Linked DNA regions of Drosophila melanogaster. The protein of the gene in region 3 interacts with the protein of the main gene of each other region in a pairwise test. Each region holds a gene or a part of one and is shown on either strand. Other genes may lie near its edges. The genes, in order: chn, prc, Tbc1d8-9 and AhcyL2.

What was found.
Region 1: the proteins of Tbc1d8-9 (region 3) and chn interact in a two-hybrid assay, tested with the Drosophila melanogaster proteins (one large-scale study listed by BioGRID).
Region 2: the proteins of Tbc1d8-9 (region 3) and prc interact in a two-hybrid assay, tested with the Drosophila melanogaster proteins (one large-scale study listed by BioGRID).
Region 4: the proteins of Tbc1d8-9 (region 3) and AhcyL2 interact in a two-hybrid assay, tested with the Drosophila melanogaster proteins (one large-scale study listed by BioGRID).

What each region holds. Positions count from the first base shown.
Region 1 is NT_033778.4:15,112,532-15,118,912, reverse strand, and holds the start of chn (charlatan), read right to left. Parts: upstream 3,453-6,381; 5' UTR 3,225-3,452; intron 1-3,224. UniProt on the Drosophila melanogaster protein: Probable transcription factor involved in the development of the adult pattern of macrochaetae. Required for accumulation of achaete (ac) and scute (sc) in proneural clusters.
Region 2 is NT_037436.4:11,959,211-11,968,290, forward strand, and holds the start of prc (pericardin), read right to left. Parts: upstream 6,922-9,080; 5' UTR 6,843-6,921; intron 6,032-6,842; 5' UTR 5,968-6,031; coding exon 5,896-5,967; intron 5,654-5,895; coding exon 5,595-5,653; intron 5,529-5,594; coding exon 5,425-5,528; intron 5,363-5,424; coding exon 5,198-5,362; intron 5,142-5,197; coding exon 1,839-5,141; intron 1,785-1,838; coding exon 1,244-1,784; intron 1,180-1,243; coding exon 1,054-1,179; intron 684-1,053; coding exon 1-683. Other genes in the region: Muc68E (mucin 68E), read right to left, coding at 8,370-9,080.
Region 3 is NT_037436.4:21,337,117-21,346,298, forward strand, and holds Tbc1d8-9 (TBC1 domain family member 8/9), read right to left. Parts: upstream 6,601-9,182; 5' UTR 6,504-6,600; coding exon 6,460-6,503; intron 5,982-6,459; coding exon 5,815-5,981; intron 5,337-5,814; coding exon 5,078-5,336; intron 5,021-5,077; coding exon 4,459-5,020; intron 4,400-4,458; coding exon 4,251-4,399; intron 4,176-4,250; coding exon 2,780-4,175; intron 2,716-2,779; coding exon 2,498-2,715; intron 2,440-2,497; coding exon 1,754-2,439; intron 1,697-1,753; coding exon 1,608-1,696; intron 1,543-1,607; coding exon 1,237-1,542; 3' UTR 1,034-1,236; downstream 1-1,033. Other genes in the region: Tsr1 ribosome assembly factor, read left to right, coding at 1-259, 316-825; CG32436 (uncharacterized protein), read left to right, coding at 6,992-7,546; ebd2 (earthbound 2), read right to left, coding at 7,922-8,959.
Region 4 is NT_033777.3:16,977,130-16,984,776, forward strand, and holds AhcyL2 (adenosylhomocysteinase like 2), read right to left. Parts: upstream 5,030-7,647; 5' UTR 4,694-5,029; intron 4,571-4,693; 5' UTR 4,561-4,570; coding exon 4,510-4,560; intron 3,235-4,509; coding exon 3,165-3,234; intron 3,015-3,164; coding exon 2,348-3,014; intron 2,277-2,347; coding exon 1,958-2,276; intron 1,895-1,957; coding exon 1,651-1,894; intron 1,582-1,650; coding exon 1,418-1,581; 3' UTR 1,395-1,417; coding exon of another isoform or gene 1,388-1,394; 3' UTR 1,310-1,387; downstream 1-1,309. Other genes in the region: Actn3 (alpha actinin 3), read right to left, coding at 1-317, 373-490; CG18622 (uncharacterized protein), read right to left, coding at 6,695-6,966, 7,442-7,454. UniProt on the Drosophila melanogaster protein: Might play a role in the regulation of methionine metabolism.

The DNA.
Region 1 (6,381 bases), on a different chromosome or scaffold from region 3:
TCAATGAAATTGAAAGTTACAGGCAATCAATGGACTCTAGTGCATCTTGGTCGCCAAGTTGTTGTTACTGCAGGTTTGCAGGTTGCGATGACGCTGATTTTGATCGCACTACTCATTTATGCACATACATGTACATATATCCCCCGCAAAAGGAAGAACGCCAGCGATGTGTGGCTGCAAAAATGCATATGGTGTCATGAGGTGAAGAAGATGCATAATGTCTATTCGGCCAGACAGACCTGGAAATGCCCTATCATTCGGAAGTAGTTTTTAAGTTCCTTCATGAAGTAATCATAATATATGAAATATTATTTCATTTGTTAAAATTAAGTTCAGTAGTCAATATGTACACATGACTGCTCTTTAAAGATTTAAAATGAAAGACATAAGCGTATTTCCCGAAATCAAGTAGTTACCGAAAGGTGCACTGAAACCCACATACCTCAACCGTAGGGTAACTGCAAACAGGTTAACCCTCGAAATGGAGCAGCCTGAGCACCCTACTTTGCCTTCATTGCCACTCAAGTGGAAGTGGCCGGCCAAGGAGATGATGATGATGGTGGTGATGGAAATGGAGATGATGATGATCGCGGATAAAGGAGCTGCCTGGTGACTGGAACCGGTTCGTGAGCAGCCGTCAGTGGACAACATGTGGGCCACCTCGAATCCCCCTGAGAGGTTCTTTCGGAGGCAGTGCTCACTGGGCCTGGGTGGACCCGTTAGTCCATCCTTGGCCCGGTGCAAGCTGTGATATAACCAACGATCCCCGTAATGAGCCTGACCAATTACAGCAGCACATGGCTTCCTACGGCCAGCAAAACCTGTTGCCCCTGAAGACGAAGCCCTTCTTCGGTTTTGCAGTTGGGAGAAAGTCTCCTCGCTGGAATAGGGCTTCCCATTTTGGGCGCCACTTGTGAAGAGGAAATCTGCCTGGCACTTCTCAAAGGGGTCGAAACTCTTGCACTTTGTCACGTCTCATTTAACTTGGGAACCCCGGGGGTGGTTGTGCGATCACTGGTTCCCACTGTATAGTTCGCTCCAACCCTTTATATACGTACACTATCTCACATCCAACATGCACAGAGAAAAAAGAGGGGACATTATTGGTACAAATTTGCATACTGTCTATGTAGGCATTTGTTATAATACGTTGCCTATATGTTGTTATATCCCGTTGATATAGGATTCAAACAATGAAAATGTAGTACTAGTTGTGACTTCCTATAGATCAAGTGAGTTCTAACATAATTTCAAAGAGCAAATCTTTAGATTTCCGTAAATGTTTTTCCTATGTGGAGACACCCCTTGACGAGTGGGCGTGGGACACGGCCACGCATGCGCAACTCCCTCCGAACTCCCAACTCGAATCCACTTTGTCTGAGTGGGTGGGTAGTGTGTGTGTGTGTGTGTGCGTTTTCGAGACTGGGTTTGTTTTGAGCATTGGGTTGGGTACAGTCTCCGCTTGGCTTGCCTTGCGGTCGGGTGAGTCACTGGGTCTTGGCCCCTGGGTGATTTTTTCAATCATCATCATCAGCGTGGGGAGTGTGAATGAAATGAAGTCAACAGGAAATAGTCAGTTTGCGGCTAAGAATAAAATCAAATGATCGCTACGCTTTTTTCATGTTATGTAGTGACTACCAAAGAATCAAGTTCAAAAAGTACATAAGGTTCTTTTGGAAATAAAAGAAAGTGATCGCTAATATAATGATTTCCAATTTTAGTCAAAGTTTTCAACAATGCTGTCATGTATTGTTGGGTTAACGAACTCACTTAGTTGTTATTGCTTAACGAACTTGCTTAACTTTGTCTTATAGTCTGCTTCCGTTTTCCACCCCTTTACTTTCCAATCTAAAGGAATATGCGTTGCATTCTAGGCATTTTCCAGTGCTTGGCTTCGTTTAACTCGAGCTTAAAATCAATTTTTGTCGACGAGTAAAAAGCAATTAAGCTGTCAGTCTATGTAAGCAGCTTCAAAAACACAACTAATTTCTATATATAATCCATGGAGACGCCATGAAACGAAATTCCGTTGCCGGTATCCCCCTACCCCGTACATAGTATTTATTTATATAGGCATAATCCCGGGCAAGTGCAATTCGACTGCATACAAATTGCATTTTCCATATAATATATAAATGTATAAAATATGTGCGTGGGAATATAATCTTATATATATAAATATATATATAAAGCACTCGAATGCAGTTATTTGCATTCTGCAGCAGACATTGCCACCCACAAATTTTCACCATATTGCCCATGGCAACAAAAAACCACACATTTTTAGTTTTCATTTGAAAACACCATGCCACAAACGGAATTCGTCAAAGGCAAAATAATCAAATACAAATTATATAACTCCTACATACATATGCATACATATGTAGTCGCATATGTTGCATAAAAACCGAAACCCCAAAAAATCATATGCAAAACCCCCCATCGAATCGAAATGAAAATGCATCTCTCTCTTTGGAGAGAGCGCAAGCCTGTGCCGTTATTTTCTATTTTCCCAGAGAGCGCGAGAGTGAACGAACGGAAGTTGAACTCTCGAAAGTGCAACACAATTCCTTTGCACTTTTTTGATAAGGGGTGTGGGTCGCTTTTTGGGGTGGTGGGTAGGTGGGTGGGGTGGTTGAATATAACAAAAATTGTTATAGACACAAAATTTATGATGTGCTCCGGCTGTGAAAAACAACCACCCACCCAGGAGCGAGAAACTAAGGGGGTTACGATAGGTGGGTGCGGGGGGATGGGGGCGGCAGTTAGTTTTCAAATGCCAAAACAGTTGAGCTATTGTCGCGAGAGCGGGATAGTAATACCCTTCAAAGCCATAACGAGAGCGAGAAAGAGGGTGGGTTGTGCATTGTTTGGGGGTTGCTATACCGTTGCATAGAGCGCCTGCTCCAATCCACACACCAATACCATTTGTTTTTATTCCACTGTGTGCGTGTGTGTGTTTGTGTGAAGTATTGATGAAGGAAAAATAGAAGTTGGCGCTTTTTAGTTGGGGGTTGCTGCCCCCAGTGGGATGTTTCTCTGGAAAAAGTGCATACCGAAAAAGATACGCACACACACACACAAACGCATTGCGGAAAAATCAATAAATCACTTGGCTTGGAAAATAGATATGGAAAGGCCCCCCCTCCCAGGAAAATCAATTAATAGATACTCCATGCTACTCTGATCCGATTTGTTTTAAAATATTTTATTCACCAACTTACCAACATGTTAGCGGAGGTTTTGCAGCCAGCCCCGGAGTATGCAACACTTTTTCGCCTCTTTTCGCGCGGCACACTGTTTAGTAGGTTTGTGTTTCTCCTTTGCAGCTGGAAATTAATTTACTTCACTGATTTGTTAAATGATTTCCTTGATGCACTTTTCGGTTTTCCGACTTAACGAGAACGGACCGCGTTTCACAACTAACCTCATCAACACTCACACACCGAATGAGATTTCGTGACTGAATGAATATGAATGGTCGCGGAGGAGCGGATCCTACGGCGATTCTCCGCCACCCACTCTTTTGGGGTGGCTGATGGGTTGGGCGGAAAATTTCCCGTCCCTCCCCCTATTGGGCCAAGTAAATATGTTGTAATATTTAGTTTTGTTTTTGCGTCTGCGATGCGTTGCTTAGTTTGCTGTTGTTGCCGCGCCGATTGCCTGTCGCGTAATAATAATACCTCTCCGACGTTGTGCAATTGTGGGAAAAGCTTCCTGTCTGCGCCGCCCTGCTTCTTCTTCTGACACCCCTCCGCTTTTCCGCTTTCCACAATTGCAAAAAGCGCGCGCATTCCGCAACGCTCACGCTCCCACGCATAACAAGTGGACTCTCCGGCAAAACTTTGTCACTAAGCTAAAAAAACGATTCTAATATATAAATAGACTTATTAATTGACTTAAATTAAGAAAGAGTATATTAAAATAAAAAAATAATTTATTTTTTATTTGTCAGTATCGGGGTATTATCGATAGTCGCGCCGAAAACATCCGAAAACATCGAATTAATTGTATTCAGCGCGGAAAAAAGGCCACAGCAAAAAATCTCTTAAGTTATTTATTTTTTTTAATTATCTGTAAGTATAATAATAGTTGAATTTATTATTTGACTAATTAAACAACAACATATGATTTTTAAAGACCAATTTTCTTATTTGTTAAGCTTTCATTTGTTAAGCTTAAAAGAATTTCCATTACATAGAATGCTATTGAAATTGAATTTCATTTGCAATCCTCCTTAAAAATTACATTTCCGGTTCCATTTTACAATAATTTTACATTACATCATACACGATTACTACCTTCTAATATTAGCTGTGTCACTAACCCATTGCGAACTATTTTGGAGCTGCTTTCCGAATTGCTACACTTGTAGAGTTTAAGTTACCACCTAGAATTCTACATACGGTTATTTGATTAATTTTATTTGATCAATAAACATATTCACTGGATTATAGCCATGTACAATGCTTAGTCATGCCAACTCTGTCAATTTGTAAAATGTTTTTAAAATGCTCACTCGTATTTATAATTTTTTGCCAAAAAGCTGCCAAACAAAAACTGTTTTAATCCTCGATATATAAAATATTATAATCTTGGTTTATTAGTACAATGTACTACTTATTTTAAGAAGGCCAGCAGCTTTGCATAATACATTAATAATAAAATACTAATTAAATAGTACTGACATGATACATTGAAAGAGAACATTGCAGACAAAAAATAGGATTTATTCATCTGTAGGATGACCCACTCCACTTTAAAGGCCAAGAAAAAACATAAAAGGGAATTTCATTAAAACAGATTAGCGTAAGGTGCGCAATCTTTAATTAATTTTCGCGGATTTTATGTTTTTGCCCTAGCCGCAAAACCATTCAGTCGAGTGGCAAAACGATTGCAGGTAAAAAATGGCTACCACTTAGCCATGACGACGTTCATTTTTAGATTTTCGTCATTTTTTCGTCCACTTTTTCCGTCACTTGAGGACAGCAGTTTTTTTTAGCGGCACCCAAGTTTTAATCAAATTGCACATGTGACCACATAGTCAGCCATATAACCCATAGCCCACACCACAGACCCCAAAACTCCTTTGCTAACCTAATTTTACAGTTGCCTCTTCAGCTGCACTCACACACGCAAACAAAAACACACACACACACACACCAAAATACAGGATTTTTCATCTCCATTTTTGAGAATTTTCTGCAACGTCAACTGTCTCGAAAAGTTTTTAATCAACGTCACCAACAACAAGAGCGTTTTTCTTTTTTCTTGCATTTTTCCTACTTAACTGTTTAATTTTTTGTTCGGTTTTTCGTGTTGCCTTTTTTCCACAGATGGCCTCGATTTTTGTGGATATTTGCCGCATTTTCACCGAAAGCAAATTCAATGCAATTAAAAACAATTCATAATGGTTGTGCCGAGGAGCATTTCCCCCCAGTAATTTGTCTCCAGAGCTGGGAAAAATAAAAGGTACATGAAAAATAAAACTATGGCCCTTTTGGGCCGCTTTGCTGTATTTTGCTGGTTGGCAAAAATGATTTTTGTGTCCAACATTTGACGGCAAACGGGCTTTTTGGTTTATGCATTTAATTAAAAACGAATGAGACCCAAAGCCAAAGTCCGAGCCACAATGAAAACGCAATGAAAACGAATAAATATGAAAGGACTGGGCGACAGGAGCAAGTGCAGATGCAGATACAAATGCACAGATGCGGATGCATAGATACATAGATACTAAAGTTGCTGTTTGGTTAAAATATGCAAACAAGAAACGGAAAAACTTATTTAGACGCCGCTCCAGACAGCAACAAAAATAAATGTATCCATATATGTGGCTAAAGAGCCACAGAAGCCAGCGAAAAAAGCAAATTGTTTCTTTGGCTGCTTATGAAAATGGCGTCACACACATGCACTTGCGCCAGTGTGTGTGTGTGTGTGTGTCTATCCCACGAGTCTGTGTGTGTGTGTGTGCGTGTGAGTGGGTGGGAATTGGCTTTTCTTTGTTTTTCTTTTTTTTTTTAAAGCAACACAATGGGACTTGGAAACTTCATTCATGCAAATGGCGAACGCCAGAAAACGCTTTCAATTAATGGGATAATAAATAAAAGAGCTCCGCTGACCGATTTTGTTTATCTGTTTTCGTTTGGGCTATTATTATTAATCTCCCTTCTCTTTTGATTAAGTTTTGCAATTTCGTTTTTTACGAAATATTATTAGGGATATTTATTAAAAACGGCGCGACCATTATATATATATATATGGGTTTGGCGTTACCAAAGGAAAATTAAACTGATTCATTAACTTGAAATATTGGCCAATTGGTTATAAAGTGTTCTTTATATTTAGGAATACAAGAATATCTTTTGTTACTTTGAAACA
Region 2 (9,080 bases), 9.4 Mb from region 3:
AGCCGCAGGTCGAGGACTTGGTGTAATAGGTCGACTGGAAGTTCTTGTTCTCCTGCGGTGGGTTCTTTGTGTTGTCCATGCTGCCTGTCACTGACTTGGTGACGGTGACGTAGCTATCAGGAGCACGCCGTAGCGGCTTGTCACCCCGGACCGGACCCTCGTCGCTGGTGTCGGGTGTGATCTCTACTCCTTTGGGAGCGTGCAGCTCCAGGGCCTTGGTGTGGAACTTCTTTTCCACATTTACGGTTCCTCGGAATCCCGGTGGTATGGCCTCGGTGGTCGAGGGCTCTGCATTGATGGTGGCTTTACCGTTCTGCTTTTGCACCACCTGATACTTTTCACCCGGCACCGGCACCACGACTGTCTGTTGGCTTTGCGTGGGTGATGACTGGTTGTAGGTCTTGGGCCTAGGTGTTGCCTCGGTTGGTGCCACTATGGTGGACGACTTTGGGGATTCCTCTAGCTTCACTGGCTTCTCCTCATAGTACTCATCCTCATCGTATTCATCAGGATCGGCCTCATCTTCATCATCGTACTGAACGGGCTCCGGGTGGTCTAGCTTACTCACTACCTGCTCCGCTTCCTCCTTGGGCTTGGTGGACTTCAGTTGCGCCTCTGGCACCCTGTCGGACTCATCAGTAAGCGCGGGTCCACTGTAGACAGCATCAGCTCGATCAGTAACACTGGAAGTTGAAAGTTAAAGAAAAGAAAATAAAATACAATCGTATAAATTTTACAGAGGCACGCACTTCCCATTTGAAAAGTAAGTAAGCAAAAGTAGTTAGAAATTTTAAAGGATTTATTCGTTTATGTATCCAACATAAATAACCTCAAAAAGTATACAAAAATGAATACGTTTTATGCTAAAGAATTCCATAAAGGCATGGCAGTTATAAAATCACAATAAATTGATTGAGCTAAAGTGTGTGACTTTTCGAAATCAATTTTGAACATATTTTGCCAATTTAAAAACCACAGAAGCATACGTTATCCCTTTTTTTAAATAGCCCAAAACATGTTTTTCTTTCTTTCTTCACTTTTCCGATTACTTACGCATTTGCGTTGTTGCCAAACTGACTGATGGTATTGAAGAGTTCCCTGTTTGCTTCCCTGTAAGTAGCAACCTGCTCTTTGGTTCCCGACGCGGATTGTGCAGCACCATGGTAAGAAACACCAAAGCTGAAATACAAAACCAATAATGAGTGGCTAAAGTCAATAATCAATAATCCTATAGCAATGTTACCTCGATGTTCCGTGAATCTGCGAGCTACTCTGACTGGAATGAGTGCCAGATGAGGACGATGCCTGGCCGCCACCATTAGCTGCTATAGGATTGGCCTCCTGGCCGGGTCGGAAACCGATCTGGGCCTGGGAGGAGGTTTGTCCGGGTCCGCTCGATTGGGCGTCCGCCAGGCCGCCCTTGTCATTGGCGTGAACCTCGCTCTGGCTCTGTTGGATGATGCCACCGCTCTGCGACGAGGCCTTGGTGCCGCCGTCCTTGGCAACCTGTACCTGGGCCTGCGACTGGGCAGGACCTCCCGATCCCTGAGACTGACTCACGGCTCCATCAGCATTTCCGGTAACCTGTGCACTGGCCGCACGATCAGCATCGGACGTCATTGCACTGGCGCTAAAGGTTCCGCCGGAGCTGTAAGTTCCCGACACCTGAGTCTTGGCCGTGCCTCCATTCTTCTTGCCCTGAGCACTTGCCGACGCTTGTCCGTCGCCAATTGATGACTCGGCTTGGGAGAAGGCATCGTCAGCTCCGCTGGTACCGGCAGCAACTGGGAAACGAGCAATTCAAAACATTGTTTTCCACCGCCTTGATAGCTACTTACCAACTCCACCGGTGCCAACAGCACCAGGTACAGTTTGACTTCCATCTGTATATCGACCTGGTGCCCCAATTTGTCCTGTCTGGGTTCCGTATCCTGGTTGTCCTACTCTGTCTCCGATCTGTCCGGGCTGCCCTCCAATGACTCCAGTTTGGCCGCCACCTCCTGGCTGTGTTCCATAAACTGGCGCTCCACCGATTCCGGGTTGGCTACCGTATCCACCGTGCCCACCAACTGTCTGTCCGCCAATTCCGGGTTGAGATCCGGGTCCGTATCCGGGTTGGCCAGCTGTGGCCTGACCACCTGTTCCAGGTAAGCTTCCGTATCCGGGTTGCCCGGCTCCGGTTTGTCCAGGTTGAGTTCCGTACCCGGGTTGGCCACCGCTAATTCCTGATTGACCTCCAGTTCCTTGCTGTGTTCCATACACAGGTGATCCACCAATTCCAGGTTGACCACCGTATCCGGGCTTTCCAGCGGCGGTCTGTCCGCCTATTCCAGGTTGTCCTCCAAATCCAGGTATGACACCGTATCCGGGTTGTCCAGCTCCAGTCTGTCCGCCAACTCCAGGTTGGCTTCCATATCCGGGCTGTCCGGCTCCAGTCTGTCCGCCAACTCCAGGTTGGTTTCCGTATCCGAGTTGTCCTCCAAAACCTGGTTGGGCACCGTATCCGGGTTGTCCGGCTCCGGTCTGTCCGCCAATTCCAGGTTGGCTTCCATATCCGGGCTGTCCGGCACCAGTCTGTCCGCCAACTCCAGGTTGGTTTCCGTATCCGGGTTGTCCTCCAAAACCTGGTTGGGCACCGTATCCGGGTTGTCCGGCTCCAGTCTGTCCGCCAATTCCAGGTTGGCTTCCATATCCGGGCTGTCCGGCTCCGATCTGTCCGCCAACTCCGGTTTGGCTTCCATATCCGGGCTGTCCGGCTGCAGTCTGTCCGCCAATTCCTGGTTGGGTTCCGTAACCGGGTTGCCTTCCACTAGTTCCTGTTTGCCCTCCAATACCAGGCTGACCTATAAATCCATATCCAGGTTGGCCGGCTCCAGTCTGTCCGCCAATTCCAGGTTGACCACCGAATCCGGGTTGGTTGGTTCCGGTCTGTCCACCAATTCCAGGCTGAGTTTCGTATCCATAATGTCCGCCAGGAACAGCGGTTAGTGCTCCAATTCCTGGCTGAGTGCCATACCCAGGGAGTCCGCTTATTGTAGCCTGTCCTCCGTATCCTGGTTGTCCGCCTCCGGTCTGTCCGCTAATTCCAGGCTGCCCGCCGTATCCTGACTGTCCGGTTCCGGTCTGATCACCAATTCCAGGTTGACTGCCGTATCTGGATGGTCCGCCAATTCCAGGTTGAGCCCAATATCCAGGTTTTGCGGCTTCTGATTGTCCGCCACCGAGTTTCCCTCCAATCGGTCCGCTTATACCCCCAATACCTGGCTGAGTTAAAAATCCAGGCGATCCACCGACTCCAGTTTGACCTCCATATCCAGGTTGTCCGGCTCCAGTCTGTCCACCAATAACAGGTTGGGTACCGTATCCGGGTTGTCCGGCTCCATTCTGAGCTCCAACTCCAGGTTGGCTTCCATAGCTGGGCTGTCCAGCTCCAGTCTGTCCGCCAATTTGGCTTCCGTATCCGGGTTGTCCGCCACCGGTCTGTCCGCCAATACCAGGCTGGCTGCCGTATCCGGGCTGTCCGGCTCCAGTCTGTCCACCAATACCAGGTTGGGTTCCATATCCGGGCTGTCCGGCTCCAGTCTGTCCGCCAACTCCAGGTTGGGCACCGTATCCGGGTTGTCCGGTTCCGGTCTGAGCTCCAACTCCAGGTTGGGTTCCATATCCGGGTTGGCTTCCGTATCCGGGCTGTCCGGCTCCAGTCTGAGTGCCAACTCCAGGTTGGGCACCGTATCCGGGTTGTCCGGTTCCGGTCTGAGCTCCAACTCCAGGTTGGGTTCCATATCCGGGCTGTCCGGCTCCAGTCTGTCCGCCAATACCAGGTTGGCTTCCGTATCCGGGCTGTCCGGCTCCAGTCTGAGTGCCAACTCCAGGTTGGGCACCGTATCCGGGTTGTCCGGTTCCGGTCTGAGCTCCAACTCCAGGTTGGGTTCCATATCCGGGCTGTCCGGCTCCAGTCTGTCCGCCAATACCAGGCTGGCTGCCGTATCCGGGCTGTCCGGCTCCAGTCTGAGCGCCAACTCCAGGTTGGGCACCGTATCCGGGTTGTCCGGCTCCGGTCTGAGCTCCAACCCCAGGTTGGCTTCCATATCCGGGCTGTCCGGCTCCAGTCTGTCCGCCAATACCAGGTTGGCTTCCGTATCCGGGCTGTCCGGCTCCAGTCTGAGCGCCAACACCAGGTTGGGCACCGTATCCGGGTTGTCCGGCTCCGGTCTGAGCTCCAACCCCAGGTTGGCTTCCATATCCGGGCTGTCTGGCTCCAGTTTGTCCGCCAATACCAGGTTGGCTTCCGTATCCGGGCTGTCCGGCTCCAGTCTGTCCGCCAATACCAGGTTGGCTTCCGTATCCGGGCTGTCCGGCTCCAGTCTGAGCGCCAACACCAGGTTGGGCACCGTATCCGGGTTGTCCGGCTCCGGTCTGAGCTCCAACTCCAGGTTGGGTTCCATATCCGGGCTGTCCGGCTCCAGTCTGTCCGCCAATACCAGGCTGGCTGCCGTATCCGGGCTGTCCGGCTCCAGTCTGAGTGCCAACTCCAGGTTGGGCACCGTATCCGGGTTGTCCGGTTCCGGTCTGAGCTCCAACTCCAGGTTGGGTTCCATATCCGGGCTGTCCGGCTCCAGTCTGTCCGCCAATACCAGGCTGGCTGCCGTATCCGGGCTGTCCGGCTCCAGTCTGTCCAAGAATACCTGGTTGGGCACCGTATCCGGGTTGTCCGATTCCGGTCTGAGCTCCAACTCCAGGTTGGGTTACATATCCGGGCTGTCTGGCTCCAGTCTGTCCGCCAATACCAGGTTGGCTTCCGTATCCGGGCTGTCCGGCTCCAGTCTGAGTGCCAACTCCAGGTTGAGCACCGTATCCGGGTTGTCCGGTTCCGGTCTGAGCTCCAACCACAGGTTGGCTTCCATATCCGGGCTGTCCGGCTCCAGTCTGTCCGCCAATACCAGGTTGGCTTCCGTATCCGGGCTGTCCGGCTCCAGTCTGTCCGCCAATACCAGGTTGGCTTCCGTATCCGGGCTGTCCGACTCCAGGTTGAGTGCCAACTCCAGGTTGGTCACCGTATCCGGGTTGTCCGGCACCGGCCTGAGCGCCAACTCCAAGTTGGCTTCCGTATCCGGCTTGTCCAGCTCCGGTTTGTCCGCCAACTTCAGGGAGAGCAACATATATCAAACTGTATACATTTTGATTATATACGACTTACCACCTCCGGGTAAGCTTATAATGGAATCGGGTCTACCGATGCCTCCGGATCCACTAGCATCAAGAATTCTGCCTGAAGAAGGGTAATCCGTTTGGTAGCCAGAACATCCATTGCAGTCCCCTGATGAGAACTGGCTCTGAGCCTGACCCATTCCATGGGTGCCAGCTGAAAGAGGTCAAGAGGTCAATGGACAAAGTGCTAATGAATCTCATCTGACCCGTACTCACACACAGTGGAGCGAGATCCATTTTCGGTAGCCTCTGCCTCAGCCTTTCCATCCTCCTCAGGCTTACCGAAATTTAAGTACTGAGACTGGGTTTGTCCCCTCGAACTGCGGATAAACATGGAAAGGAAGTAAGCCCATCTGGTCCAAAATAGTTGTTAACCAACTACTTACTAGCCTCTGCCGCTTCTCTTTTCCCGCTGCAAGTCGTTCAGACTAGAAACCTCATTTTCCTGAAAGTTAATACATCGATTTAAATTCAATGCTAATGTCAGTCTAATCTTTATTCATTCAAAGGGTCTGTGCAAGTGTGCCCGATTAGATGCTGCTTGTAAGAAACTGACCTTGGTCAAATTATGTCTTATCGCCTACTTTTCGAACCGAGTTCATTTACATTACACTACTCTAGTTCCATTCAACACACACAGAGAAGCAACAATTCTCGGGGAGATTCATTAACAATTCGGAAACTTACGATGGCAGCTCCATTTGCGCTTGCCACGAATAGCACGGCGCCAAGTAGCAGGCCCAAGCGAAAGGGCAACATTTCAATAAATTAAACCCTGAATCCAATTGAAAGGCGTCGACGTCGCGGCAACACAACCAGCAAACTGTAAGATGAAATTGAATTGTATTATCAATACACCATATAGATGCGTGTTATTATTAGTTTATACTCCTTCTCTGTGTTTCTTGTCCGTCACTTTCAGAGGTTATCACTTTTCTTTAAAATGAGCACGCACGCTGTGCTATTAGATGCCAAAAAAAAGGCAATCGATCTTGAGTTATATTTCAGTCTTGCGAGTGATGTAATCGCTAAGGCTGATTAATGTAAGTTTCGAATTTTAGTTCTTGACACAAACGTGTTTGAATTTGTAGTCTGAAATCATACATATGTACATATCCTTTTTGATATCTTTCGCTTTTCACATCTTTATTTTGATTTTTATATGTAAAAAATACAAGAAAGTCACATAAGCACTTTACACTTCGAAAGGATAATTGTGTGATTATCCTGGCGAATATGAATTGTTACAGAATGTACATATTTATATTTGAATATAGAAATATTTAATAAATTTGGGAAGAAAATTTAATCTTCACATAATTGTGTTTAGATGTTGTCAATGATTCGATTAGTACAAGATTCTTAGTTTGCACACATTATAATTTACACACTTATTGTTCTTTTTGACCATTTACTAATGATATAAGGTCCTGTATTTTGGTTGATTTCAATTTCACTGCATATAGAAATTCACATTTAAATTTTATCAAATAAAACTCTACAAGTTGTAATCCGTTTCGTAATGCACAATTAATAGGATGTTTTGTTATCTTATTTCTTCACTAATCCCTTGTATTTGAGAGCTGTTTTTGCTCTATGTCCTTGCTGCGAGGGCACACATCCTAGGCACATACTTTTTCGGCTGCGTGTTCTAGGAATCCAATGGAGATTTTCCGATTTGCTTCCGATCGCGACAACTGCTGGATTGCGAATAACGCTGCCCTGTACGAGCATCAAAACTCTAGAGCTTGAGCAGAACTCAAATTCATTGAAGGCGAGCAATTTCCAATACATTTGCATTTGGCCAGCATGAATATTTATGTAGGATCCACACCAGCGCAGAGTGCTGGTATCTGTGAGGCGGATCAGGGCACTTGGAGCCCGAGCTGGGAGCTCGTCGCCAGTGCTATTCATTCGAGTGTCTATTCCATTACGTATCAGCGCTTTGATCGTGTCAATCGATCACTTGGTCTGGCTTGGCCTGCCGATGGAAGGGGCGGCGCGTTGACGTCCCCCTCGACAAATGAGTTTCTATGGGCATTACAACATCGTAGTCTATGCCAACGGATGGGGGACTCTTTTGACCCATTTTAGGGAAATGTACTGGCATTTATTAGCATATAAAGATACGCAATTGTGTATCTCTTGGATACATTTCAAGTGTGTCCCTGCCCACACTCATTCACTTGACTTGTATGTGCTCTCTTTGCATCTGGCGAAGGCTTTATCGATTGGGCTTTGGATTTCCCAAGCCACTTATTTATTTCTACAAATCAAAAATTGGCGGAAGTAATTTAATCAGATAACCTTTGAGACTAACTATTTGCTTTCGCTTTCTGTTTAGACTACCCATCGTCATATCTATATATAGAGCAGTCTCTACCAGCCCCCATTCAATGTTGAATTCGGCTTTATACCCTTATCTGCTAAGAGCTTCTATGAAACCATGTGTTAAATTGAACTGAAGCATTAAATTTTCAATTTTTGAATACCCATCGTCTGTATGGGGTGTGTTTCAAGGCTAGTAATATTTTTAATTGAAACCTAGATTGATAAGATCTACGAAAAAGGCCTAGGAACTGTGGAAAGCAAATAATCCGGCTACAGTGTACCCATTACTTATTTTACTAGATACAATTGCACTTAAAAATATCTTTAACCTTGTTTTCCAATTTTAATGGGAATAAAGTGCTATGAAATTTTTATTACATCGTAATAAGAATTTATATTGAGACCAATTTTTTGTAACACCTTGAGATGAATTTGAGACTACCTTTTGTTTCTATAACAATAGGGTAGTTCATTACCAAAGTGTCTCAGTCTATTGAAATAAATTTGCATGCATCCAAAAATATCTATTTAGATCATCTAAAAAAAAAACCCCAGTGAAATAAAAATGCGATTGAATGTGTTTTTTTTTTTTTATATACAACAATAGGAATTTAACATTCAGTTTCTGTTTCATTATATTAATAATTTTGCTAACTTTAATTAATCGATTTGTAATTTCCACAGTATAAATAAATTTTTAATAATTCGCAATCTTTTTATTCATTTCTTAGGTAAATATTGTCCAATGAATAATGCCGTTGCACTGCTCCTGAAAAAAAGTGTCCGCATGTTATTTATTAAAATTTTGTCTACTTTAATTGGACTTACTCTTATGTGCAGAATCGCCGGGACTTTTCGCAAACTTGACTAACGGGATTCCAGTAAAGTCCTGAATTACAGCTCATTACAACACCTCTCAGGCCAAAACACTTGACATATTTGGAGCAATCGCTTTGAAAAACGTTAAAATTCATGCCCGCTGCGCAAGAAATCGATTGACTCGCCCGAAGATTTGTGCAATATTTATTGGACCAATCACATGACTTTATCTCCGGGTTCCAATACAGCGGATCTGGACACTTGCGCTCCAATGCCACGCCATTACTACACTGCAAATACATGGTGCAGTCCGTTGGATGTGCAAGGAAATCCACTCCAGGTCCGCAAACCTTCTCCTCTGGATTGGAATTTTCAGTGTCGTTGTAGCAAACACCTGAATCTCCACTGCAAACAAATTTATGATAGTCCCAATAAAGATTAGCTGGGCACTCCATAATTAGTTCATGCCCGTTGCTGCAGTGAATATATTTATGACAATTTGTTGGATGGGGTAAATATTGATACCCGGTACTGCAAGACAATGGTGGTAGACTTGAAGTTGTGGTTTCAGGGGAAGAACTTGATGAGGGTTCTAAGGTTGTGGATCTTGAGGAAGATGGAATTGGACTACTCGTGGTATCGTATACTAGCGTGGTACTTGTAGAAACTTGTCCTGCAGTACTGTTTTCTCCCGGTGATAGGGTAGAATCGCCTAACGTTGT
Region 3 (9,182 bases):
ATACGTCACTCTTTATGTGATAAATGTTCCTGAGAGCCGCTGGAATGCCTTCAAGTCCGCCCAGCTTATGGACAACATTATTGTATATGGAATGCTACCCCATGAGCACCAGATGTGCGTAATGAACGTGGTACTGCAGCGAATGCCCGACTCGGAGGTGCCGCTGAAGTCTAAAGAACAATTGATAATCCAGTGCGGCTATCGTCGCTTTGTTGTGAATCCCATTTACAGTCAGCACACCAATGGGGATAAGCATAAGGTAATATTTGGACTAATTTGTAATTGACTATTTATTAATGGATTATGTTTATCCAGTTCGAACGCTACTTCCGTCCGTACGAAACAGTTTGCGCCACGTTTTACGCACCGATTCAGTTCCCTCCGGCACCCGTGCTGGCCTTCAAGGTGAATCCCGACTCCACCCTGGCGCTGGTTGCCCGTGGACGCCTGCTGTCCTGCAATCCAGATCGTATTGTTCTCAAGCGCGTTGTTCTCAGCGGTCATCCCATGCGTATCAATCGCAAGTCGGCTTCTATTCGCTACATGTTCTTCTACAAGGAGGATGTGGAGTACTTCAAGCCTGTGAAACTAAGAACCAAGTGCGGACGGCTGGGACACATTAAGGAGTCACTGGGCACGCACGGCCACATGAAGTGCTACTTTGATGGGCAGTTGCGATCCTACGACACTGCTTTCATGTACCTGTACAAGAGAGTCTTCCCCAAATGGACCTACGAAGAGTGTCTGGTGCGAACGGCGGAGCACGAGCGACAACATGCGTCGGCAAACAGGAGGAGCTCGCAGCAAGTGGCCATGGAAGAGTAGAGGTGTGTGCAAATGGATGGATAAATAAGTGATCGATGGACAGTGCGAATAACTTCTGAAATGAGTTTATATTATTGTTGTTACATTTAAACCTCTAAAAGTATGAAACCTACGAAGTGTCCATTCGGGAAATGTCACCCGAAAAGTACATAAAATATGTACACAAAAATCCCGCATCGATAATTTTTTATATGTGACTGCGTTGTATAATAGGAATAATAGAATTATATTCACAAACAATTGTCTTAACTTAATGGTAGAGGCAATACAATATACATACATATAACATGGATACGTTTAAAAGCTTGTCGCATTGCACAAGGATAAAGAATCGGTCAGGTTCTCATAGAATATGGCTAATACAGTTTTGTGGGGGGACAGGACATAGGGCAGGGATGGGACTATGATTATTCAGTAATTGGTGGACAGACACTTGCGACGCTTCTTTTGCAATTGCTCGATCTGTTCGCTTATTTGGATTGGTGTTTGGAAACCTCTTACAATGCTGTTGACAGTCAGAACCGTGGCGATAAACTGGGTAATAGATATGTGCCAGGATTCGGAGATGTTAGTGCTGCTGCTGTCCCCACTGCTTGTTGTTGTGGTCCTGGACTTTCCGCTCGCCTGACGAAGCTCCTCTTCTAGAGCCACAAATAGACGGGTAGTGCCAATGGGTTCTGGTGCAGGAGTGGTGGGATTGCCATTGCTATCCGGTTGCTGAAAGAAAAATTTAGTTTTGTTTTGATTGTTGGGAATCTTTGAAAAGACAAAGCAAGTCATACCTCATCGCCACCCATATTTAGCTGGGTAAAGCTCTCCAGGCTGGGCTCCTTTTTAATATTGCTGTTTCCAAGCTCCAAGAGATTCTCATCTAAAAAATGAACAATAGTTTTGAATGGTACTTTCACGTTTTAAAGGCTATACTTACAAGCCCTTTGCATCTCTTCATCCTGGACCAGACCCATGATCTCTATGATACTGCGCCACAACAGCTGAAAATTCTCCTTACGCATGTGGGGAATGCTGTGTTGCGAATTTGAAGCGCCTTCGTCCGGCTGGTCCAGCAGATAGCCAAGACTGCCCAAGCTTCGCAAGTCCGTGGCATTCGAGTCAACACGTTCTAGACGTGTGGCCGCAACAAGGTCGCTGATCTGTGAGAAATTCGATATAGTCTCGACATTGAGAAGCATGTGATCAGCGGCCGCAGACGAGGCTGCTCCGGCTACCACATCAGCTCCCACTCCCGCTTCGGGCGGCGTAATGCGTGCCGCTCCCAGATCTGAAATATCCGAAAATGTGTCAATCGATTCGTAACGGCCCTGCTGGCGAAGCTGTCGCTGGAGTTCGTCTTCGTCCCGCCCAGCATCTGTGGATGTGGCAGTACCCTGGAATCCCGGCAGGTCCACATAGAAGGTTGAGCTGCGATGCGCCAACGAGGAGGTGTTAGAGTTCACCGACAGATTGGGAGTGCGTGACAGGTCCATAAATGTGTTTCCCGAGATTCCGGCCAGGTTGTGCAGATGCTGGGTGGCACTAATCAGGGCAAAGTCATCGGCATCAAAATTGTGATCCGAGGGCGAGGGCAACGCTTCCATCGACTCGGAGGCGTCATTACTAAATAAGAAATGCATGGTTTTAGTTCGTTATAGTTTGGGCCTCAGAAAACACTCACTCAAAGAAATCCTCCGCCTCGAAAGCCTCCTCGGCATCATCTTTTGTGCGTGGGCGCGGGCGACGTGATCGTTCAATCTCCGCTTTGGACAATAGGGGCGGAAGATGTAAAACGTAGAGGAGTTTCAGCTTCTCCATGTTCTTGTTGGAACAGACCAGGCCCAATGCATTGATGAGCTGTCCGAAGTCGAGAACACCAGTTCCCTTCTTATCAGTAAGCTGGAAAACGAAAACAGAGACATATAGATTCATGCCAATTCTTATTCCAAGATCATTAACATACCCTAAACAATTTTTCGCCAATGTCCACGCTGACGCACTTACGCCAGGGTGTCAGTTCCGTAAAAAGTGTGTGGAATACCTCATAGCTGACACTGTAAGCCTCGTATCTGCCTCCGGAGGCGCCGGCATCTTGGATCGGTCTGCTTGTCGACTGAGGGACCAGCTGGGGAGTCTCAGACAACGGGCATTGAACCTTCTGCTGCTGCTGTTGCAGGGATTTAAGGGCGTGCTTTTCCTCCCGGATGATAGTGAGCAGCATATGCAGTTCACTGCGGTTGAAATACGGATTCTGGACGTAAGCCTTGACAATGGTCTTCTCGTTGTCGATATCGAACTGTCGCATCGTTAACCGGCGATGCTTGTTGCGTAACTCCTCGATGCGCTGCTGTGTGATATCCTCACCGAACTTTGTGTATGCCTCATGGATCAGGGTCTGAACTGTTTGTGTTTGGACTTTACGCTCCATCTTCCGTTTGTCCGTCGTAGGAGGCACCTGGTACTCTGGATTGTAGACTCCCTCCAGGTAGTTCTGCAAAACTAGCATGGCTTCGCCATCATCTTGGCAGATCAACAGTTTGTCCCTGTTCCATTCAATGATCTGCAGTGAAATCATAAAAATGATCTTGGCGCCCTCGTAGAAGAAGCAGTCCAGGATGTGCAGCGAGCTCTCGTAGCTGATCACGCTCATGAAGATGGTAAGGAACCAGGAAATGGAAATCATCTTAATCACACCCAACTGCTCCAGATGGCCGTGCAAATCAGGCAAATGCGTCTCCACTAGCTCATTAAGCACACCCTGATCGATTTGGGCGCCCACCACTTTATCCTTGTAGTAGTCCGGTAGTAAGTTCTCGCACAGGCTGGCCAGCATCCAGAATGCGTTCTCCTCATCACAGAAGAGCAGGAACACCGACGACACAATATTCATGGCCTGACAGTAGCCCACTTGTGGATTCCGCAGCGCATAGGCCTGAAGGACTCTCCGCAGAGCACCTATGCCATCGGTGCTTTGAAATGCCGGATGCTCGGGCAGCGAACGCGGCAAGTCCCGATCAATTTCATCGTGGGCAAAGCAGTTCTTTATGCAAGCCGCCTTCTCTACGAGATCCTCGTACAGTCCGGGATTCATCTCCTTGTCGTGGATTGCCCCCGAGAATATCAGCCAGATCTCCTGGCGCAGTTTGTCAGGAATACCCTCCACTATTAGATTTATCACGTCCGTTGTGCGGAACATTCCAATGCCCCGTCCGAAGTCCCGGAAATGCGCCTCCCAGCGCACCATCTTTTCCTCCTGCTTCTGTATGATCTCTGCGCTGAACTGTGTCTTGAATGTGTTCATCAGAGCGGTCTGCTTGCTCCACGAAATGTCGTACTTAGCGCGTTCGCGACTCAAAGGACTGCGTTAAATAATATGGTTAGGATCAATATATACATGTAAGTATAGCAACATAGATTTTTAATCTAACACTTACACATGAACTCGAGCCAGAAGGTCTGTGATCTTGGAGATCAACACAGCTCTGTCCACGATATGAGCAAACATGAAAGGCACATTCTCCGATGTTATAATTACAATTTGGTTTTCGAAACGTTGCTGGCCATCATCCTTCTTTTCAACGCTCTAGAGTGCAAACAATAATTAAAACTTATCGAAATCGAGTACATTTATGGTCTGCGAACCTTTATGGTCTTCATGGGTATAACCACGCTGACCAAATCCTTTACATCGCTACGAAAACAAAAGAAATTCGGCGATAAGTAGATAAAGCCCGAATTAAATCGTTTTGAGTAAGGTGTCCAGATATTGGCCTTAATCTTTCCGTCAATTATTTCCGATTGTGGCAATCGAAAGTAAATACGAAACTCCTCGGACTTTTGGCGAGCTGTCAAATCCCGCAGTAGAACTGGTTTCTTGGACGTTTTGGAACCCAACCGTGAGAAATTAGAAGTATCGTGGTCGACCACAGGACTATCTGGATCATGGATTAGCTGCTGTATGGCCATTTTGTTGAGCTGCTCAATCAATAAGTGTGCATCGCTGGCGTTGAAGAGCATTGTAAAGTTGTAGGTCATGTTATTGGTGGTTTTTAGATAGATGGTATTCGCATTTCGGCTGATGTCTTCCAGCTCTGCGAAGCGTATAATACGCTTGATCTCTTGACCCAGCATGTAGGAGTAAAAGCAGACGTGGTTTAGCGAAATGTATAGCTGACCCTGCCTTGGTATCTTGTTTTTTACATAACTGGAATTCAATATTCAGTAAATATGGACCTTTAATGTATACTGAACATATGCTTACGTGGCCGAATAAGAGATAACTAATCGCTCTTCCTCGGGCATTTTGAAAATCTGTCTAAACTTTGATTTCATAACCTTGAAATCGGCCGATTCGCCAGTGTCATCTTGATTGTTTTGCGTGTACAAAGATTGGATCTTGCATATGGTAAAGTTGGTCACCTCGTCCTCGTTCTCCATCTCGTCCAGCACTTTAAAGAGATTAGCTTTCAGCCATTCCCAATCCTTAACAATCTCATCCTGGGTAATGCCAATGGCGATTTCTGTAGGGAATAGATTCTTGTTAATCTTTTTTATATTTTTATCTATAGAACACGACTTAAAAACCATATCAGCACAATATGGATATGGAATTAATTATTCTACAGGCACAGTAAGATACCAAAAATTAGTTTAAACATTTTTTACTAAACTTTAGGATAACACGCATTTCAGCGCCTTGCGCATGTTGAGATGAAAATGCCTGGTTTTCAAGTACCCTACTCCGTCAGTTGCCTTCTTTTCTTAATATAATATAAATTGAATAACAAAAGGAACGATCCAGCCTCCGCAGCTTTTGTAATCAGCTCCGTTCCATGTTTACGTAAGCGCCGAGGGAACCGTAGATGAAAGAAATATTGGCATACTCCCATAAATGCGAGTCAAAGCCCGATGATTCACGGTCACCGATTGCTGGACATACGAAATAGACCCGAGGTACTGGAACTGATAGAGCGGATGAGTCTGAGATATTGGACCTACCGTAAGACACCTCCGACGAGGGCGTCTGGTGGAGGATGCGATAGGGTGCCGGTTTGGTGTTCATCACGCTGTCGTAGGTGCCCACCAACATGGAACCGAATCCGCGTGATTCCCCATGGCCACGTCTCTTCTGCAGGACAAAGTATCTCGAGTGCATCTCGGCAATCCTGTGGGCGAAAATTATGGTGTTCACCTTTAGAGTCGGCTTATCAAGGGGGGAGGGCCCCACTTAACGGGGGCTATTTTCTAGAGGGCGGTGTCTGCACTTTTCTACGCAGCAGGAAACAGTTGGAAATCAATTTTCAAGCTGACTTTACACAGCTGGCACTTTTTGCGTTTCGAAATCAGAACCAGCGATCTGAAGAGTTGGAGTCTTGAACTTTTGGCTCAATTAGTTATCAACAAATGCATTTCAACTAGCTAGCTGCAAGTACGACGTTTGTGCCTAATCCAAATACGTGATCGGCGGCTCCCCATTCCGCCTGCACTTCGCGATAATCGCATTCCATGAGATGTCTTCCATAAACATAACATTGCATATACACATGCCGTCCATTCCAATTCACCCACACACCCATGCAGCCGTGTTTAATTTGGATTTTCGGCAATCCTTCGATTCGGCTGCGGACTTGGGCTATAACTCACCAAAATGCCGAGGGAAGCAGCAGCTCCTTGGGCTGAATCCACATTTTGATTGTTCTTAGCCCGTGCCAGGCTCTAAATACAAAATTACTCTTTGTTTAATTCTGCATCGAGCGCTGATTGCTGTTTTTGTGGCAAGTGTGCCCGTTGGCTGGAAAGCACAAAACGCACAAAGAACTAAGCAATCTATTGTGAATGGGTGCACTCTGCGTCCGATTTTTGAATCAAATAGTTAACGTTTAGTTAAACCTAAGAATATGAATCTGTATCTTAACTTCAATTAAGCGAAATATGTTCTCTCCAATTTAAAAACTTGTTGGCTTTTAGAAGCCGAATAGAGAAACAGAAAATGTTCATTATTAACAGTTTAATATTACGCAAAGTTACCATATAAATTACATAGTTAGCCTTTAGCTTTAAATCGAAACTGAAACCTCTCATTTATATAACAAGTTCAAAGCCCAACGAACGTGTCGTGCTACAAAATTACTAGTTTTATTCTCAACTCCTGCAAAATCGTCAGTGTTTTGCAAAAATGTTGAAAAAATTCGTGGAAGTGAACGCCGAGTGCAGTCCCTCTAACAATCCCTATGAGATTCGTACCTTTCTGGGCAACGAAACGTCGCCGGAATGGAAGGCGGAGAACTGTCCGCCCCGCGATCGCGTCTGTCAGAAAAAGCCACCCAACTCCACGATCTCCCAAGTGCTAACCATCGAGGATGAGCTGCGTCGCATCCACCACAAGGCGGAGGAATCCCGCTTCACAAAGCCCTATAAAAAGAAATGTGACCTCTACGACGATTTAACCATGTGCATCGTGCCACAACGAACTCCAGCGGAGCTAAAGACCCATGCCGAGATGCGAGAGCGAATTCTGGCCGCGCGCAAGGACTTTGGACTCGTCGAGCACGACGCCAGGGTCGATAGGCCATGTCCCAAAGATCTCGTCGTCCTCAACAGTCCCATGGACATGGGCGAGGAGGAACAACAGGCGGAGGAGGGCGAGGAAGAGGAGGAGGGCGAGGTCAAGCCACAACTAGCCACTCCAGAATGCAGTTCTGATATGATAATTATTCCGGACAAACGCATGGTATGTTTAGATATAGCTTATAAACTTGGTATAGACAATATTTCTCGATTCGTATAAACTACGTATCCCAAATTACCACCATTTCCAAATTATCTGCGGATTATTAAATTTTAACATGATCATAATAAGCAATTCTGGTTTATTAACCTTTTAATCAATCAAATCGAATTTGATTTAAACTAAATTATGAAGTAGATCTCTTATTGTTGTTGTTTTAAGAATTAATCTTAATAAAAGTCGAAGGCCTTAAGTACTTTTTTGGTGAAATGAACTCATTTAAGTTCATAACAAAACGATTTGTTGATTATAAATAACAGTCGACTACGCTGAGGCATAAGTTTAGACTAGCTTTAACCTTTTGATAAATTGATGTTTTTACTCGATCAATTCGATGTCATCGATATCGGCGTAAATACTTCCCGGTGGCAGTTCCGAAAGAGCGATTTCTCCTGGATCGTCTTGCCCATCTCCATCGGTAGTCGCCAGCGACAGGTTATGATAAGCTCCAGAAACAGCCTGTTGCTGCATGTGCACTCCCAGCTGGGAGATAAGTTCCAATGCCTGTACATCCGAGTTCATCAGAGCGAACTGGTGGATAATGGCTAGATGCGGAAAAACCCCATTCAGAAGAGTACTGGTTCCAGCGTTAATCTGATCATCCGGGTTTTCCTGGTCGCCATGTGCCTGCAGAGGTATTTCCCCCTCTGCAGCATCTGGTGTGCTGGATGGTGAGGACATCATGGTGGGCTCACATGTTACCAGCTCCACTTCATTATCCCCCTCTGGATGATCGGACATGATACTGTTTTCGCTGGAGAGATTGACAAAATCTGCCATAACAGCTGCTTTTGAGATTGCTTCGCCTGGATTATCCAGCTCCCGTTGCATGAAGTTCGGCAGTGCATGCTTAAACTCCACAATGATGTCTTCGACAGGCAGGTCCTGGTTCAAGGGATTTTCGCCCTGGTAGCCCAATTCATCGGCCTCGTACTTGTACTTGTTGCGGAATCGGCTTAGCCATCGATAGGATGGTCTGAAGGATGGCAGGTTCAACACAGCTGCCATCCGGATGGCGGTTTCCTTCAGTTTTTGGTTCCTTATGCTGATGTTCAACTGCATTTGGATGCACCTTTCCACCCACTCGTGTAGTAGGAAGCTGATGGCACTCATTTCGAACTTGCGGCGCTTGCGCGTCATCTCTTCGATTATAATGGAGGCATCTGCCTCGCTTAAGGTGGCCAACTGCTGCAGCAGATCCTTTTTCTTATCCAAGATTCTACGTATTTGGGTGGCGCAGCAGTGGAACATCTTGGCCAGACTGTTCCTAGAGATGTTGGTCTCGTCATAGTAACGGATTACGGCAATCTTTTCGTAGAATGTCAGGATGTTACGCTCATTGCGACGGGATTTGATCTAAAATATAGAGAGGGAAGAGTATAAGATTAACCTAAGATTAGTATTAAATATATTTTAAGCAATTTAATAAATTATTAGATATCTGCAACTATTAGGGTACAAGCCACATTTGTTGACCACCTCTTATATCCTGTCGAAAATTTCCATGCAGAAGTGTTACTGGGCGGATAAGTAATTTTTTCTCTCAGTGTCGTATATATATATATACGTATATTTCTTT
Region 4 (7,647 bases), on a different chromosome or scaffold from region 3:
CTCCTTCATTATGATTAAATTGTGGCCCATTATTTCTAGCTCCTGCTTTTTCTTCTCATTTTTCAACATTAGCCGCAATTTATTCAACTCACAAATGGGACTTTCTTTTACTAAAGTTTCTGTAGTGGTACAAGATGACTCTTGGTACGGGAATCGCGACACTGAAAGAGATTTCAAGGCCTCCTTGACAATACACTCCAGTTCAAAAAGAATTGTATCAACGTCCAGTTGGAAGAGCGTTTTATTCACTTTATTTAAGCCTTCTTCAGTCTCAAGTAGTGTCAGGACCATAGACAAGCGCTTAATGTACCGAGTACCTACTCAAAAATATACGTATTTATATAATAATTTCACTTTGAAAGATTAACTTACATCGTAACAGAACTAAAGCCTTCGAGGATTGTTCTTGATTCCCGGACTCTTGACTTTCCGCAAATGTCTCCCTCAAGGACCTTGTGAAAAGAATTACCTTCCCTAAACAAATCTTCATTTTGCGAACTTCTTTTCGGCTCCATTCCCCGTTAGTCGCACCTACATGGGTGTCATTCTTCAAATCGGACTGTATTTCTTTTATCTGGCATACGAGCTCCTTTAATAACGAACCCATGGCCAGTGATAATTAAGTGAACGAAAGTGTGATCAAGTGTGTTATTGTGTGGTCAAGTTAAAAATCATACAATTTCTATCCCAATTTGACATTTCAAAATATAGCTACTGAGAATTTTAAAGGTATTGTAAATAGACTTACAATGTCTGACTGGTCAGTACTAGCATCTTAATTCAGCTTTAATGTTTTTCGAAAAATACTTTTTGGTTCCTATTATTTTATGATTATTTTATAATTTACTGATTATATATATCATATATTATGATATACTTACTGATATGTAAGTCCCATGTAGATATACTGAGACGTGTAGAAACTTCCACGTAGAATTTTTGTATTATATTGGAATCGAATAAGTATGTGTAAAATTGGCTTTAGCCAAAACACGAACCATAATGCTACATTTTACAGAATTTGTAAGTTAAATTTGCCTAATTGGAATGGACTTGAACCAATTGAGACTGATAAGACAATTATAATAATTATAATAATGTTAAATATTTAATAATTTTAATTTAGGAGTAATACCTACAATTAAATTTTCAAATAATTATTTAAAATGTATTTAAAACGAAGAGAATTTTAACTTCGGGTAGCACCAAGCAATTGGTATTTCTCTGAAATCAAAATGAAAAATTTAAAATATGATGTGTTGTAAGAAAACAGTGACTTGTATGCTCCCAAATTAAAACCATTTATGTTAAAATGTATTTTCATATATTTTCTAAATAATATCAAAATTACAGAACGAGAATAACGGGATAAAGCATTAAATACTGATTAATATCTGCAAATGAAATAAGTATATTATTAACTAGAGTGCAAAATTGAAAGGGAAAGAAGGGTAACCAACCTGTAGTAATTGGCTTTAAAAGGCCCGGCCTTGTTTAAGCCCATAAACTTGGACTGCTCATCCGTGAGCTCCGTGAGATGAGCATCGAAGGTGGCGAGATGCAAACTGGCCACGTATTCATCTGAAAGTATTCATTAAATTAATTTAAATTGTCCAAAGATTTCCTTAGCTATTTTAACTAAGAACCTACCCATTTTCTTTGGCAGCAGGTAGACATCCGACTTATATCTTCCTGGCGCTGAGAAGAGTTCAATCAGGGCCAAAGCCTGGGTGGATGAGGCCACGGATACGACAAAGGACGAAATGGTGGAACAGGACAAATTCACCAGTCTTCCCTCGGCGAGCAAAATGATCATCCTGCCGTCCGGCCACCTGATGTGATCCACTTGAGAACGGACACGCTCCCACGTTAGCTCCGGGGTATGCAAGCCATTCTAAAGTGGGTTAAAAACCTTTTGATATATGAAGGCCACAATGGAATCACCCCGAATACATACCACATCAATCTCCGAGCAGGAATGTCCCATATTGCAGAGGATACAACCATTCTTCATGCGATTCATGTGATCCCTGGTAATAACATTTTTGTTTCCAGTTGCCGTAACCACCACATCCACCGTCCTGATGACCTCGTTGAGCCGTACCACCCGGAATCCATCCATGGCAGCTTGTAGAGCACATATGGGATCCACTTCCGTAACATAAACAATGCATCCTTGGCCCTTCAGGGACTGGGCACAGCCCTTTCCCACATCACCGTACCCACAGATCACCACCTGCTTTCCGCCAAACATTATATCCGTGGTGCGTTTCAGACTGGAAGAGAATTATTAGAAAGGACCAGTCAGAGATAGTACTCTTCCTTAATCATGAGTATCTATGCTCACCTGTCCAGGATGGAGTCACGACACGTGTAGAAAGTATCAAACTTGTTCTTGGTCACTGAGTCGTTAACGTTGATGGCCGGAACAGTAAGTTTTCCGCCCTTTGACAGCATGTACAGCCGGTGCACCCCGGTCACACTTTCCTCCACGATGCCCCGAATGGCCTTGAAGTAGTCGGGGTACTTCTTGAGCATAAGGTGCGTGGCATCGCCGCCGTCGTCCAGGATTAGGTTCGGCTGCCAGCCGTCGGAGTAGATGGCCCTGTCCAAGCACCACCAGAACTCCTCCTCCGTCTCTCCGCGCCAGGCGAAGATCGGAATTCCCGCCTCTGCCAGAGCGGCGGCAACTGCGTTTTGTGTGGAATAAATGTTGCAGGCAGCCCAGCGAACTGTGGCGCCCAGTTGGACGAGGGTCTCGATCAGCACTGCCGACTGAGCATTGACGTGGGTGCATCCGACGATATTGGCACCCTTTAGGGGCTTCTCATCCTTCGCTCTTTTCCTCAGAGTCATGATGCCCGGCATCTCCGACTCGGCGATCTCGATCTCCCGCCTTCCAAATGCACTCTTCGAGATGCTCTTCACGCAAAAGTCAGTGCCTCCGGCGGAGTTGCGCTGATGGTTGTCCTTCGGGGAGACGTCTTCCTCGTCGGAGCTTCCGGTGAAACAGGCTAACAAAGAGATCAAGTGACCATTAAGTGAGTTCAATCGCAAGAGAGAATATTGAAATGGAAAACAATGATATCCTTTATGCTTCATTATAGATAGATCATGTAAAATAATGCTTTACATTACATCTTAGTCATAGTTATAGTACTTACTGGAACTGAATGAGCAGGTGGACACATCAGAAAACCGCCGAGCTTCAATACTTGACTTCTTCACAGCAGTCTATTGTATAAAAAATAATAATAATAAAGTTAAATGCAATTTAAATATTTATGTGGGATAAGCTTTGTTAACATTTTCATCTGGAGACCCGCAAATTGCTTTGTTTAATCGCGCGTATAATAATATCTAACAAACTAAAAGATAGACTCTTTCGAATTAACATAAATCATGTTATACAAAAGGGAGAAAATAATACAATAGACTTATTCTATTTTATCTATAATCAGGTGTTTTTTGCATATTTTAGCATCACCTTCTCGTGTTAATAACTACAAAATATATTTGCCCACATCTAATGAATTTGATTCCACTCCCTTGGCTTAGTATATATGTATAATATACCGCGTAATCAGGGGTAATGGATTCGATTCACAAACCCATGAATTTATTGCACTTTTCAATTAACAAATTGCCATCGAATATAAAGCATGCAAAATCGCACATATGTGAGTATTATTGGGATTGATTAATTCTTGATGGAAAACCTATTTGAAGGCGCGACTTTTGCGTCGTTTCCAGCTAAATCCAGATTTAAGTGCAGAGAAAAGCCGAAGCAAATACATTCGCATACATTGGTCACTAATTGGCATCGTTTAGCATACCGGCGATAATTCGTCGCGCCAATTGATTTCGAGAGATATGAAATCGCGAATATAGATCTATAGATCTACAATCCAGACCTACGTCTATGGCCTCCCGGAGTGTATGTAAACAGTTGAGTTAATGAAATCTACGACTGTATACCGTGGCCTATTGTGCCTATTGTTGTTTACGTTTCACTGGCCATATGGAATAAACATGCACTTGTATCTACAACATTATACCTTTCCACTATCTACGCATGACCCCAGCAGATCAATAATTTGATTACATGTTGAAAGTCTGCAGAGCTAATAATGTAAGATTTACTAGCATGATTTATGGCGGCCATGTTAAATATGTGTTTTGTTAAGTTCATAGTTCAAAACTGTGATAATTTAGTTCAGCTTTAATCAATGCTGCTTTACTGAATTTTTTACTCAATCACTTTCACCAAGGGTATTAAACGCTTCGAGGTGAATGTATCGCTTTAATTTATTGTTCAGAGAACGTCTTTGGGCGCTTTGTTTGGTTGTCGCAGTGTCACGTGCTGTTTTTATATTAATCGCCAAGTTCAGCGATTGAAACCAGTTGTGGGAATCTGGCCAACACACCTACTAACTTCAAGTGGCTAATAAATATTCACTATGCTGTTTCCTCCCATGGTTATATGTATGTATGTATGTATGTAGTTACCTTATCAGCCAGACTCAGGTCGGCAAACGTTGTCTCCGGCATTTTGGCCATTCTGTAGGCGCTGCGAGCAGATAAAGAATAAAACAAAAAGTAAACCAGCAGTTCGAATAAAAACAAACAATCAAACAAACTTATTCAGTGTCAGAACTTATTCAAAACGAGCAAACGACCTTCGGAGACTTACACTTAGACGGATCCGAAACAGGTTATAAAGTATGCTCGGCTTTGTCGCGTTTTATTCCGACTTCTTAAGTTCAATGCAGCTGAGAGACCGACTCTTATCATCCAGTGCAAGTGCTGGATGTCACCTAGTCTATGTATATCCTATATATGTTATCTCCTATATTTCGGCGGAGGCACAACGTCTGTTCTGCTGGAGATCTCCGATCAGACTAGATCGTCCCGCGTTTCGAATTCAAACGAGATCGCCAATCGATCGATTCCGCTGCCGGTCTGTTTGCCTAATGTATTTGTATCTAGAGCGATCTGCAATCTGCGATCTCCACGGATCGTCCGCTCGCGACTGGGGCACACAACACACTGACTCACTGCACCGGGTTTATTGGGAGGCAGCACGATCGTGTGGAAATACAGAAATACGGCAAGTAAAAAGCGAATAGGAAAAGAAAAAACCAAAAACACAACAAGTCCACGGAGCGAGTATCAGCAGCGGTTCAAATAAAAGATCGCCACATTTATGAGAATCTTATCACGACGCTGCCTCTTATCTCGGCGCCCGCCGCCTTCCCCCCCCTTATCCCTCTTGTCCGCTTATCATAATCACAACTTCACCCCATGCAGTATTCCTCGGGAGATTACGGAAATCAATTTAAGCTCTGACGTAGGCAAAGTGTCCACTCGGATGAGTGAACTTCATTATGGCACCTACATAGCTTAAGGTTGAAGTGCACTCTAAGTCGAGTTGAAAGGCTTGACATAATTGAAATTAAATGTGAAATATTTAAGCAGAGTAGGTTCTTATCGCCACAGGCACAAATATAGGAAGCTAAGTACTCTGGCCCTTTTGATGCGATCCAATAAAAGGAATTCAGCCCTAGAAAAACGTCACTCTTATCAAGGTTCACAAAAAAAGTGTGAGGTAATTATCATTAATTTTATAACGGCAATGTATCATATAAGCAATATCTGCAAATGTTATGAGACCTTCTCTTATAAAACAACAAACAAAACATTCTCGGAACTATGTTTAACACACACAAAAAATATTTAATAATTTGCGTTTGCATATCTCAAGACAAGTCATGAGAAAATATAAATTAAGAGGTATGTTTTAAAACTCAGTTTAATTTTTTTTGGCTAAACACATATTAGATGAAAAAATGTAAACAAACATTAGAACCTTCTTTCTTCTAATTAGTTTTTTCAATTAGTTTTTCAACGTAGTTTGGGTGTTTACAAGGGGTGGGTCGTAAAGTTTACTTTCCAACGTGCCAATCGGCCATTTTTAGCCATCGTTGCCCAATGATTTGATAGCAGTGAATTTTATTGAATGCCTGCGCGCTTTTAGCATGGCCATAAAGAGGGAAGAATTTTAATCAAGGCACCGAAACAGGGATTACGCCATCAACCCTCATCGCATGTCCTTGCGAGGGGATGCTCGTTAAGGGATGCAGCATCTGCGGTGGATGATTGTTACCTTAAATTGGTGCAGAGCTCCAGGGGTTGAGCAGTTCATAATGTCCATTCGAAGGTCTAATTGGTTGCTTTCAATTCCGAGTAGTATCTGCATTGTTCGTGATAAACATTTATTATACCGGCTTCTGTTGAGAATTCTCGTGATCTTGTAATCTCCTTTTATTGCATACACCAGATACGACCCTTTGGGGACCCAAAAACAAAAGATACAACTTCTAAGGGCAAGTATTTCGTTTATTCCATTAACTATTTTTGCGATCTTTCATAGGACTAAAATTATGAGAATGTACACGTCCTAAAATACAATCCACATTCCATAGTTCGGCTTTAGCAGTCACTGTCGCACTCGTATTGCACCTAGAGTTTTTCCAACTCTATCCTTATAAAAACCACAGGTCCTATATACAACGTACGTACTATATACAAATAGTTAAAACTACGCTTGCTTATGTACAAGAGTCTACTTAATACCGTCCGGGTACCTATATACAAGAAGCCGGGCTCTTGAGGCCCGTTTTTTTTTTTTTTTTTAAAGCGATCCCACTTTCTCCATCAAATACCAGGGCAGGAACACGGAGACGGCCACCACGGCAACACAAGTTGCGCACATGGCCACTGTCGCCGAGAGATTGGTCATCGAGAAGTGATCCTCTTTGTCATCCAGCTCCTCATGAGGATGCCTCTCGAACTCCAGGACCTCGACGTCGAAGCGAAAACGGACTTTCGACTCCGGAGAGTCCTTGCGCCACACCAAATGGCCAGAGGACTCGCGGCGCTCCAGGCTCCATTTCGGATCGTGCACTAAGAGGTGAAAAAAGGAAAAAGATGATTAGATATTTAGAAAAATAATAGAAGGTCATAAACTTTCTTTTTTCAGTGAATTAAATGGGTTTTAACTATTCATCAATACGTATATATGATTATCTTCTGTATTTAATCTTCTGTATTATTTCTGCCTTACAGACAGAATGATTTGAAAAAACTTGCAATGCTATTTGTTATATATATATTTTATTTTTTTTTTTTTTTAATCAACGAAAAAGTATTTGACAAAACTTTGTATACAACTATTCTACATTAGATAGCTAAATTGATATACCCATAAGTATGCTATAAATAATTTTCTTGAGCATTGCGTCAATCTGATCGTGACATTTCGATTGAAAGTGGTAAAACAGCTATTTTTAAAATTATTGCTTCCATATGAAAGCGATCTGTCTACAAAGTATTATATCCACTCTGATGAAAAGTTAATTGATTTAATTTAAATACTCACCTGATCCAGTCATTCTGCCGTTTTGGGAGTTAGTTCAATTCGAAACCCTGAAATGGCACAAAAAATATCATTGAATAAATTAAGTGAATAATACTGCTCATATAGACACCGATTAAATGAAATGTTTGCTATTGCATTTCGGGACAATTCTGAGTAATCAAACGTTCTAGGTGAAGTACGACCAACTAATTAGCATTCCAGGCACA